Coturnix japonica: one gene and its partners. The protein of the gene in region 2 binds, or shares a complex with, the protein of the main gene of each other region. Links are inferred from orthologs where the notes say so. Each region holds a gene or a part of one and is shown on either strand. Other genes may lie near its edges. The genes, in order: STK26, STRIP2 and STK25.

Evidence for each region.
Region 1: STRIP2 (region 2) and STK26 share a complex: the UniProt entries of both Homo sapiens proteins name them as parts of the core of STRIPAK complex. The link is inferred for Coturnix japonica from reciprocal best matches to the Homo sapiens genes STRIP2 and STK26.
Region 3: STRIP2 (region 2) and STK25 share a complex: the UniProt entries of both Homo sapiens proteins name them as parts of the core of STRIPAK complex. The link is inferred for Coturnix japonica from reciprocal best matches to the Homo sapiens genes STRIP2 and STK25.

What each region holds. Positions count from the first base shown.
Region 1 is NC_029519.1:3,354,078-3,357,726, reverse strand, and holds part of STK26 (serine/threonine-protein kinase 26), read right to left. Parts: intron 2,550-3,649; coding exon 2,319-2,549; intron 1-2,318. UniProt on the Homo sapiens protein: Serine/threonine-protein kinase that acts as a mediator of cell growth. Modulates apoptosis. In association with STK24 negatively regulates Golgi reorientation in polarized cell migration upon RHO activation.
Region 2 is NC_029516.1:802,747-806,395, forward strand, and holds part of STRIP2 (striatin-interacting protein 2), read left to right. Parts: coding exon 1-54; intron 55-607; coding exon 608-705; intron 706-892; coding exon 893-1,019; intron 1,020-2,156; coding exon 2,157-2,257; intron 2,258-2,787; coding exon 2,788-2,854; intron 2,855-3,649. UniProt on the Homo sapiens protein: Plays a role in the regulation of cell morphology and cytoskeletal organization. Required in the control of cell shape. Calmodulin-binding scaffolding protein which is the center of the striatin-interacting phosphatase and kinase (STRIPAK) complexes.
Region 3 is NC_029524.1:3,903,493-3,907,141, forward strand, and holds part of STK25 (serine/threonine-protein kinase 25), read right to left. Parts: intron 2,380-3,649; coding exon 2,149-2,379; intron 853-2,148; coding exon 796-852; intron 1-795. UniProt on the Homo sapiens protein: Oxidant stress-activated serine/threonine kinase that may play a role in the response to environmental stress.

The DNA of each region.
Region 1 (3,649 bases), on a different chromosome or scaffold from region 2:
TTGCAAGACAGCCAAATTTAAGGGAGAAAATTATTAAGACTAGCTGAGTTTTAAGATTTATTCAACAGTAAATTCCCATTTGAGCTCCAAAGTTCAAGATACAAAGGTACCCCATGTCTTTGTGATTTGGGAATTTTGCACCTTTTTGTGTCACGATAATGGAAAATTAGCACCAGTCTTATCTCAGTGGTAAGGAAGATGACCCTAACTTATCTCAATAACGTTTTTAAAATATCTACTAACAGACAAATAACACTACATTGTTAAGTAAAAATGCTTAGGGGCTGTCTGTATTTCTTAAAATCACATTTACAAGTCAAAGATGCAAGCTGTAGCTAAAGAGCAGCTAGGCTGCAGAATATAAGAGTATCTCATATGGCATCAGTTGAGCTGACTAGGTTACAAATTAGTAAGTCAAGTAATTGAGATAAAGACACTCTTTCCTCCTCCTGTTCAGTTTCTGCTTAGCAGGAGGATCACTGGGAAGATCCTGAGTGCTGCTGGTAAGTCACAGGGCCACTGGGACTGGGCCGCTCCATTCCTGTTAGTAACAACACTGGCTCTGCATCCTGACATGCAAGAAACTAAGAACCATGTAAAGCTCCAGAATATTTAAAATAAATTGTATACAGAGGGAAAAACAACCTCATCTGAAAGGCTGAACAGTTACAGAATCCTTGCAGTTAACATACGTTGTTTAAAGTTTTCATCATAACATTCAATTATCAAATGTGTTTTCTTACAAAGGAGAAGAGCTGAAGCTGACTGGTACTTGATGGCAGTAACCATCTGCTTATTTGAAGTTCAATAAAGTTGGTTACTTCTTAAATACTGAAATACACTTATGCTCTTTTTGCCACTACCTTTGAAAAGTATTTCTAGGAGCTATTTTCAATAATCTTTATGTATAAAACCAACAAGCCTATTTGATCACTCCTGATGTAATCTTGGTGCCAGTCATATCCACTAAGAACTGCTATTGCACTCAGCAGCCTAAGACTCTGCTTTCTATGAAATAACAGACCTTAAGTTTCAGGATCTAGCCTCAACATTCTTTAACCTTTAATTATTAAGTCATTTTGTACAAAACTGTACATACTTCATTTCCAGAAGAAGTCTACAGAATATGCAGAACAAAATACTGAACAGCTTCATACTAAGGCTGACAGCCATCCTCAGAACTACAGCTAATAGAAAGTTAGAAGCTACAGCAACCTTAGTTTTTACTTTTAAGAATAGACAGATAGTACTCTCGAAATGCTTGTCAGTACCAAAATTAGAGTCAGCATAAAAGATTATTTGGACACTTCTACCAAAGCCAATACACTCTCCCACCTGAGAAATCTCAAGCTGAAAGAACCAGTACTAGCAAACAAGGATGAATCTAGTCTAAGGCAGGGAAGAGCAAGCAATAAAATTAACTGCCATGCTAGTATGGGATTAAAAACAATCCTGTGATTTATTTTTTTAAGGGAAGTTTCTTAAGGGAAAATAAACAAAATTTCACAAACAACTCTACAAACATCACCCAAAAATGTTTCCCCCAAAATAGTAGACAAGAAAAACCAGGGGACCAGCATTAATCTTTCAGAATGCATTAAAAAATGGAAAGAACCCAAACAAGGAAAGTAATGCAGAATTAACACACTCCTGCGCTTGCCAGGAATTTTTAAAGAGCAGAAAACCCAGACCAGGAGCTGGAAGTTACATCCAACTATTCTGTCAGTGCTATACATTCATATACTTCCAATTTTTATCTCTGTAGGGCTGAGCATTGTTGTGTGTGTTGATGTTTCCTTTTTTTAAAGCTTGTTTCTTAATTTAAGCCTTAGATAACACGAGAGTTACATAACCACTTTGTACTGTTGTCAGTTCTACTTTGTTTCAGGCCTACTATAACACACAACTACAAACATCTCCACACGGTGCAGCGTTTCCTTCCATATCAAAGGAGGGTTTCTCTTTTTTGTTAGTCTAGCTATGAAAACATATTTTTCCCCCTCCAAAAAGGCTCAAAATTTCACTGGAAGTTGTGAGGGAAGAAAGAAGAGAAAACCTCTTCCTCCATGTAATTTTATAAGCTCAATAGCAATAGGAATCTTCTGTCAACTCCGCTCCTTTTGTAGCCATTTTGTGAAGATCTGAGCTTTAAGGAACATGCAGCAAAAGATGCAGAACAAAGGCAACTCCATTCAAAGGGAAAAACAGAAAGTCAAGTTGATGTGATAACACTTTCTCAGTTATAGGAACTTCCCTGTGCATCATTCAAAATGGGCTGACACATTGCTAGTAAATGTTTGTGCAGTAAGATACATTACCTTTAAATATGATCCATAGTATTTCGTTACATAAGGACTATCACACTGACTTAAAACAGTTATCTCTTGCTGTATATCTTCTATTTCATCTTCTGCTTCCTCGAGGTCTATGATTTTTATAGCAACCACTTGCTGCGTCCGATTATCAATTCCTTTAAAGACTTCACCAAAGGAGCCTTTCCCAATGCGTTCCAGTTTTGTGAATAATTCTTCTGGGTCTGCTCTATGGTTCTAGAGAAAAAGTTAAAATAAATAAATAAATAAAAGATGAGCTATCTTCATTTACTTCCAAGTTATTAGCCCTCATTAATGCCCATGAAACACATCACCCAGATTTATCATTATTAGAGTGCTCGTATCAGATGAATTTATTTCCTATACACTCACTTCTAATTCAGCTATTAGTTACAAAATGTATATTATACAATTATGTCAAAGGTAAGTGAATTTCACCATCGAAAGCAACAGGTACAAATCTCATTTCCCACATAATGCTTTTAAAGGAAAGAATAGAGCTGTTCTTAATACTGATCCTGTCTGTGTGGTAATTCAGAAGTCTACAGAATGCAATTACTGGCACAGAAGTGCTAACATCATTCCCCATGTGAATAAGGCTGGGCTCACCTATGAGGTCAACAGCCTTGGGCAGACAAAGCTCCACTTCAAGTAATAAAACACAGAGGTAGCTGCAAGAGGACTACAGCACCCGGAGCCCATTAGCAGCATCCTCCACCCAAGCACACTGAGCTTTTGAGATCTGCTAAGATGTAAGGCAACAAAAGGCACTGAGAGACATTCAAAGGAGTACAGATGCAGAAATTAAACTTGAAGCACTGGTCAGAACGAGCTGATATCACCCAAACACGCCTTGGATGAGGAACACAGCACCAGACAGTACAGCACTCATGAGGACATCTGGTTTCCTTGGAAGGTTAACTGCTCTATGATCAGCACTGACATCATACAAAGGTCTTAACGCTTCCCAGCTCCATTCAAGGAATCAGAGGGAAGAGAGAAGAGGACCTCTAACACTTGCAGCAACTTTGCTGCTGCTAACTTGCCGCGAACAAGAAAACCCAAAGGCCCTCTGATTCTGATGTCTCTCCTGTATCCCTACACGTCATGCTTACCCAGCAGATCAAGTGAACTGCCCTGACAGAAGTGACAGCTTTGGCAAAGGCAGCCATTGTGCATCTGCTGCATGGATTACCCTGCACAACACACAACTCTAGTACCAACGGGAAACAAAACATCTTTACAGCATCATTTTGAAAACGGGTGCAAAAATCATCACTGGGAAAACAAAATTATTGCTCCTTTTTTTGACTGGA
Region 2 (3,649 bases):
ACCCCTTGTGAGGTCTTGTATCGAGCAATGCTATACAATCTCCCCCAGTATATGGTAAGCCTGTGTTCCTTAGAAATGAAATAGGGTCTGTGGGTGTTAGGGATCTGAACGTTGGGATTTCGGTGGGAATCCAGAGCAGAGCTGGGTGGAAAGTCATCTCCAAGAGGAGGGTTCCAGAGGATCGAGGAGGTCAGATACCCAGAGGCATGGTCCAGTGTTTGGAGATAGGACAGTGGGACATCCCTTTCAGCTTTCCCACCGACTCAAGAGATTCCCACACACTACAATTCACAAATTCAGCTCTTTTAAGATGCATTTTGGGCCACCTACAGTCTGTCTGCAGGGAGAGGCAAACATTTAAATGCAATAAGCTGCAGCGCTGTTTTATCCATACCACTAGAGCTCAGTGCATCAACTTAATACAAAAGCTGAGCTGCCCTGCTGCCTGCAGTTGAGTACAAAAGGAGAGCTGAGCATTGGCACAGCTGGCCCATCACCATGAGTGAACCTTGGGCTGGTGGAAACTTCTAGAGCTGGCTTGAAGTTGTCTAGTCTCAAGGAAAAGGAAGGGATTCGCCCTTTGCCTCCACACCTGCCTCCTCTGCAGATCGCTCTGCTGAAGATCCTCCTTGCTGCAGCGCCCACCTCCAAGGCCAAAACTGACTCCATCAACATCCTGGCAGACGTCTTGCCTGAGGAGATGCCGTAAGTCCTGAAGGAGATACCTCCAGCTGTTCCAGCCTTGGACCAAGTGGGAAAGTTGGGAGTTGCAAATAGGTTAAGGGAGCCCCAAATGTGGGCATGGGGCTGCAGATGTGGGGTCCAAGGGATGTGGGTCAGTGATGGTCCCATCAGGTTGATGGTTAGCCTTGATCTTCCCTCACCATGCCAGCATCACTGTCCTGCAGAGCATGAAGTTGGGGATTGATGTGAACAGGCACAAGGAGATTATTGTGAAGAGCATCTCGGCTCTACTGCTGCTGCTCCTCAAGCACTTCAAGCTGAACCACATCTACCAGGTGAGCACTGAGAAGGGGTCACGGTTGGTGCTCGTGGGGCTGGTGCATCCTTACTGGAGCTCTCCAGGAAATGTTTCCAAGAGGAGCAGTGGATTGTAGGGATGAACCCTGGCTCTGGGACATGTTTTTTAGAGCATTACTCATGCAGGAATAACCTGCCTGCAATATATCTTTGGCTGTTTGTTGACAGGGTGGTTTCCACTCATGTGGAAAGAGCTCTCTGACTTGTGGATGAACACATGCTGTGGTTAATCAGGTTAGAATTCCAGAGATCTCAGCAGAGGGAGCCTCTCCTGGCAGCCGGGGTGGGGAGGAGTTAGGCAGGATTCCTCCTGCTGTGCCCAACTTCCACACGAGCAGTGGGGCTAGGCAGGACTCGTGAGGTCCTCAGCAGGGTAGAGCTCTCAGGGCTCTGGCCTCAGTAGAACCAGCTCAGGGTCCTAGATGCAGTTTGATTTGTGTTAAACAATTAGTGGGCATTTTTCTTTTTCTCTTTCCCTTTCTTTCCCTTTCTTTCCCTTTCTTTCCCTTTCTTTCCCTTTCTTTCCCTTTCTTTCCCTTTCTTTCCCTTTCTTTCCCTTTCTTTTCTTTCCCTTTCTTTCCCTTTCTTTTCCTTTCTTTTCTTCCCTTATCTTTCCCTTTCTTTCCCTTTCTTTCCCTTTCTTTCCCTTTCTTTCTTTTCCTTATCTGTTCTTTTTGCTGATCTGTGCAAATGGGTTGAAGGAGCTGCTTGGGCAAGGGGATTGGAGTAGATGATCTCTAGAGGTCCCTTCCAGCCCCTGCAATTCTGTGAACTGTAGAAGCCAGAATGGAAGTTACCCTATATCCTTTGTAGTAGTCAGTCTCCTCCTTTTCCTTCCATATTTAATGTTTTCCCCCAGTTTTTACCTTGAAAAGCGACCTGCATTCACTGGGTGCACCTCTTCTAGAGTCTTGCCATGAAATTCTGTGTGTCAACACACTTTTCCAGATGCTGGGAGTTGTTGTATGTGATGCAAGCCTCACACAGCAGACTTGTGCACAAGGAAGATGGTCTGCCAGGTTCAGAGCAAACCATCCAAACTGGAAATGGAAATTCCCAGCACACGCTTCCAGTTGTTCCTGTTGACGCTGACCCATTTCGCTTCTCTCCCCCAGTTTGAGTATGTGTCCCAGCATTTGGTGTTTGCCAACTGCATCCCGCTGATCCTGAAGTTCTTCAACCAAAACATCATGTCCTATATCACTGCCAAAAACAGGTACAGCCACGCATGCGATGGCCAGTGATGCTGCAGTGGGAAATACAGCACGATGCTCAAGCAAGGGCAAAGTGTGGCACTGAATCCTCTCCATGCCAGATGCTTTCCAAAAAGAAACCAAACCCCACTTATATGTATTAATAAAATGTATGTCTAAAGTACATTTTATTATTATACACACATACACATATATTATATATGTGTACGTTTGAGGGTTTTTTGGTTGGCTACTTTTAGAAAGGCAGTAGACACAGAAGGCTTGGAAACTTTGGGCAAGACTCAACGCCCTTGCCATGCATTATCTTGCTGGTAATATTCTTGCTGTCAGATATTTCCATTTTAACCTAAAATCTGCTTTTCGTATGAGTTTTTGTTTTTAATATACACACAAATAACTGATCTGCCATGTCCTAATGGATCCACCTCCTCCAAACCCCCACTAATGCATGCCTGGGAGCAGGGAGGGCTCTGCTCGTTAGGCTCACATGCCGATTGTCCTTAATGAGTCTCTTCTTTCCCATCTTCCACAGCATCTCTGTCCTGGATTACCCGCACTGTACAGTCCACGAGTTGCCTGAGCTCACTGCAGAAAGCCTAGTAAGTGAAGCAGAGCACTTGTAACAGTATTGCTTTATGCAGGTGGGTGAGGAAGGACTTTTCTTTCATTTTTTCTGTGTCTTCAGCCCCAAAATAGACTTTTTCCTGTAGAAGGGCTTGAAAATTTATCTCACTGCTGCTGCTAAAATTTCGAGCCTATGTCGTTTTCCTTGGCTGTGAACACGTTGCAATCAGAAATAAAGGGAAAGGCTTTCTGTGGTTTTGATGAGCCAAAGTTGGCCCGATGGGGACATCTAGTGACACATCGTTGGGAGCTCTAGTGGCACACAGTGGTCTTTTTCTCCTTTTATCCTTGTTTCCTTTTTTCCTTTCCCTCTTTTCCTTTTTCCCCCTTCCCTTGCTTCCCTTCTTTATCTTTCTCTCTTTCCCTTTTCATTTTTTCATTTTCTTTTTACTTTTTCCCCTTTTTTCTTTTCTCTTTCTTCCTTCCTTTCTCCCTTTCCCTTTCTCCTTCTCCCTTTTCCCTTGTCTTTTTTTTCCTTCTCCCTTTTTCCTTTTCCTTTTCACCCTTCCTTTTCCTTTTCCTTCCCTTCCCTTTCCTTTTCCTTTCTTTTCTTTCCCTTTCTTTTTTCTTCTTTTCTTCCTTCATTTCTTCTCCTCCCTTTTTCTTTCTTCACCTCCCTCTTTTATTGATTGCTAACTCCATTTCTATAAAAATCCAGTGCCTATTTACAGAAATCAAACACACACTGCTTCACTGCTTCTTCAGTGACATTAGTGCACGTAGTTGTGTTTCTTTTCTTCAGCCAATATTTATGCTGTCTTTTGTTTGTT
Region 3 (3,649 bases), on a different chromosome or scaffold from region 2:
CTGTGGATTAAGCCTCTTTGCCAGCAGGCAGGAGCTGAATTTCAGCCATCATAACATCAGTGAGAACTTCTGCCTTCTGGCTGTGGAGTGCCAGGGTACTGTATCACAACTTTGCTCCCTCTAATCAGTTCTCCTCTAAACAAGCCCTGCCTTCTGCTGTTGATTACAGGTCCCCCTGCTGCACCCTTCCTCCAACTCAGTGCAGGCTCAGCAGTTTTCACTATATGACCTTCGTTCCTTCTGGAAGAACAGGCTTAATAGTCCCAAAGAGAAAAACAGAATCCTGTGAAAGAACACAGCACAGCAGAACTTTTTTTGTGTGTTTACTATCATTAGTGTTCCCCTGAAGTCTGAGGCAGCTTGTTAGACACGATCAGTATTATTAACACACCTGTAAATCCCAACTGTAGGCCAGGCCAGGTCCCTGCCAAGCCTGATGTCATGCAAGCACTGAACCACAAACTCCTGGCAGGCACAAGACTTCAGTTAGGTGAGCTGTGGATTTATGTTGCTCAAGAACAACTTACTGCTGTCAAATTTCATTTCACTGTTTTTTTCCACTGTAAAGCAGCAGAACACCCTGGAGAATTCTGTTTCAACAGCTGAGCTCCATGCAAACATTTCCTCTGTCCTGGGATATGCATAACCAGCACATCCGCCCTGCACTGCCTACCCTTCAGGCACAGGGCTGTCAAAAAGACGTCACACATCAAGCCAGCATCTGCCTTATGGGCATTTCACAAATCAAAACTTCAGCCAAGATATGTCAGGGCCCAGAGCTTACCACACACTTACCAAATCCAAGGCTGAACCTCCTCCCAGGTACTCCATGATTATCCACAGCTTGGTGCCCTGCAAGTAACAGCACAGTCCAAGAGCAAAGACAGCATTAAGACCAGGCAGACAAGCAGAACACTTGAGGTAAACAGCCCCTGTACACAACACAAGGAATGTTGCCTGCCGTGGCTCTCAAGAGGCAAAAGAGGACCTGCTCCTGCCCCCAGCATTTCTTTGTCTTCAGTTCTGCTTAAGCAAGCTTAGTAACACTACAGGCACCAGACTGCAGGGAGATAAGCATATTGTCAGGCTGGAGCCATTCAGCATCACTCCAACAGATCTAGCACATTTTGCCAATGACAGGGGAGCTTTGCAGCCTTTGATCACACTAACAGGATTCCAGTTTGAAGGGTATGGTCAGCAAGGCACTTACTTTCTCCCTAGAGAAGATATTTCCAGACTGAGGAGATAAACAGCTGGTCCACAAAACTACAGCTTTCATGGTGGTTTTGGCAGAATGCTGAGAAAATGCATTATCGACTGTGAAAAATATGCAAGGAATAATCGGGATCCAAAGAGCTCAAGGACTGCTGTGCCATACAGCCAGTGTTAAACATGCCTCCAGCAGCTGCCATCACCATTAGGAACTTCTACTGGGGGTTCCTGAACCTGTTTTCAGGGGGAACAACATCACCTCGTTGCTGCACCACTCCTTCAAAGACTCAGACCCTGTTCTTTTCATTATTTCTTCAACCCTTCAGTACTTCCTTCCCTGCTCCTGTTCCCTTATAAGGTAGGGAGTGTGGTAAGAAAGCTCCAGACCTTGATATGTGTAAGTGCTGCCCCACACCTGCCTGCTAGCTTGCAGTGGAAATGAAACAGGCTTGAAGGTTTCAAGCCATCCACTGGAAGCATCCAGTGCTCCGGTGGAAATATCACAATCACAAGATCAAGACAGGCTCCTATTCTTTTCAGAGATAGCTTGGATCCTTCTACAAACATAAAGCCCTCAGTGCTACTACCTTAGAACTGTGGTATTTCCATAAAGCATTCCACAAATTTCCTTTTGAGGATGCTCAGATAGAGGAGGGATCTGCCTTTTCAGTGAGGAGTTTGCTCTTCACTCAAGTACCCTGCTCTTGGGGCCGCACCAGGAACCTCATTTCCACATGCAAGTGTCTTGAAGACCAGCCTCATATGAAAACTACACACACACAGTGGGCAGAGCCACTGCTGCTCCTGCTGCCACACTGACTCGATGCCCGTGGACTGGGACCTGAGTGCTGTTTGCCATCACCAGCTGCGGGTCCTGCAGAAGCCCAACCCAGTCCCCAAACTGCTGGCAAGAGAATTACCATGGCCTTGTCCTACCTTCAAGTAGGAGCCATAATACCGGGTGATGTAGGGACTGTCACACTGGCTGAGCACCGTAATCTCCTGCTGAATGTCCTCGATTTCATCCTCAGCCTCCTCCAGATCAATAATCTTGATAGCAACCACCTCCTTGGTGCGGTTGTCGATCCCTTTATACACTTCACCGAATGATCCTTTGCCAATCCGCTCCAGCTTGGTGAACAGTTCCTCAGGATCCACCCTGGAGTGCTAAAGGAGAAAGGAAATAAGGCAAAAGTCAGCAAGTCCCACAGCAGCCTGCAGAGCACCGTGCATATCAGAACTGTTTGCCTTGCATCTTCTATCTACACATCTGCTGTGTTGTTGAATTCACCTGAAGCCCACAGGCCCTCCATGGTCTCCATGGGCTCAAAAACGTATCACAGAACATGTCTAAGATAAGAGCTGAAGCAGACTTTTACATGGGGTCTGTGCCCCCTGCAGATCACAGCTGGGGAGGAACAAGAGAGAGGCCAGAAAGGAGAATGTCAGCAGGATCCATTCCTAAGGCAGCAGCTCCTTTGGGACCAGACTGATGTGGCATGCAGCTCAATTACAGGCACCAAACTGGGGCCAAATGAGCTTCATGAGCAAGGATGCATCCATACCTGAATGAAAGGAAGGTGAGGTGTATCACAACCAGACTCTGAAGGCTGGGATGAGAAAATGGGCACAAGTCAGAGGCAATCAGAAGTTCACAAAGATGTTTCCCTTCTCACATTCAAATATTTGACTGATTTGAACCGATTTTCACCTTCCCTACTTGTTTGGAGGGCAACACACTCCAGCAATGCAAACACCAATTGCCATCAGCTGCCTTTACCGTAGCCTGGATTTCAGGCAGACCCAGCCCTGATGGAGCCTCGCATCTCTCAGAAGGTCAGAGCAACAGAGGGAGGAACAACAACAACAAGCACAAGAGAAGGAGGAAGAATCATGCTCTGATGCTCTTTCATTCAGTTCAGCTGCACACCAGGAGGGCCTGCTCTGCTTCATGCTATTAAAGGGCTCTTTGTGATTCATTTTTCTACCTTAAAAAATAAGGTCTAGTTTAAACAAAAGAGAAAAAAATATATATATATGGAAAATACAGCTTGACCTACAGGAAGCAAACAGTGGTTACAGGGAGTTCTCCACACCCAGAACTTCTCAGTCTCACCTCACATGTCACCCAGAGGGACCACTCCCATGCGAGGACCTTGAGCTGGGCAGATTTTATCTGAGCACAAGGCAGGGTGTTTGTGCATCTAACACCAGGTTTAGCAGCATCCCTGGGTGCTGCTTACTGATTAACCAAGCAGTCATTACACGTTGCCTGCCTTCTGCACCCAGCATGTTGCTGTAGGGAGTAAGCTTCACAGTCAGCTCACTCAACAGGATTTCCATGTGCAATCCAGTCCAAGATACAGATAGATAACCAAATATCCTTCTGCATCCATGGCAACACCCAAACAGGCTGTATTTGAACAAATGCACTGGG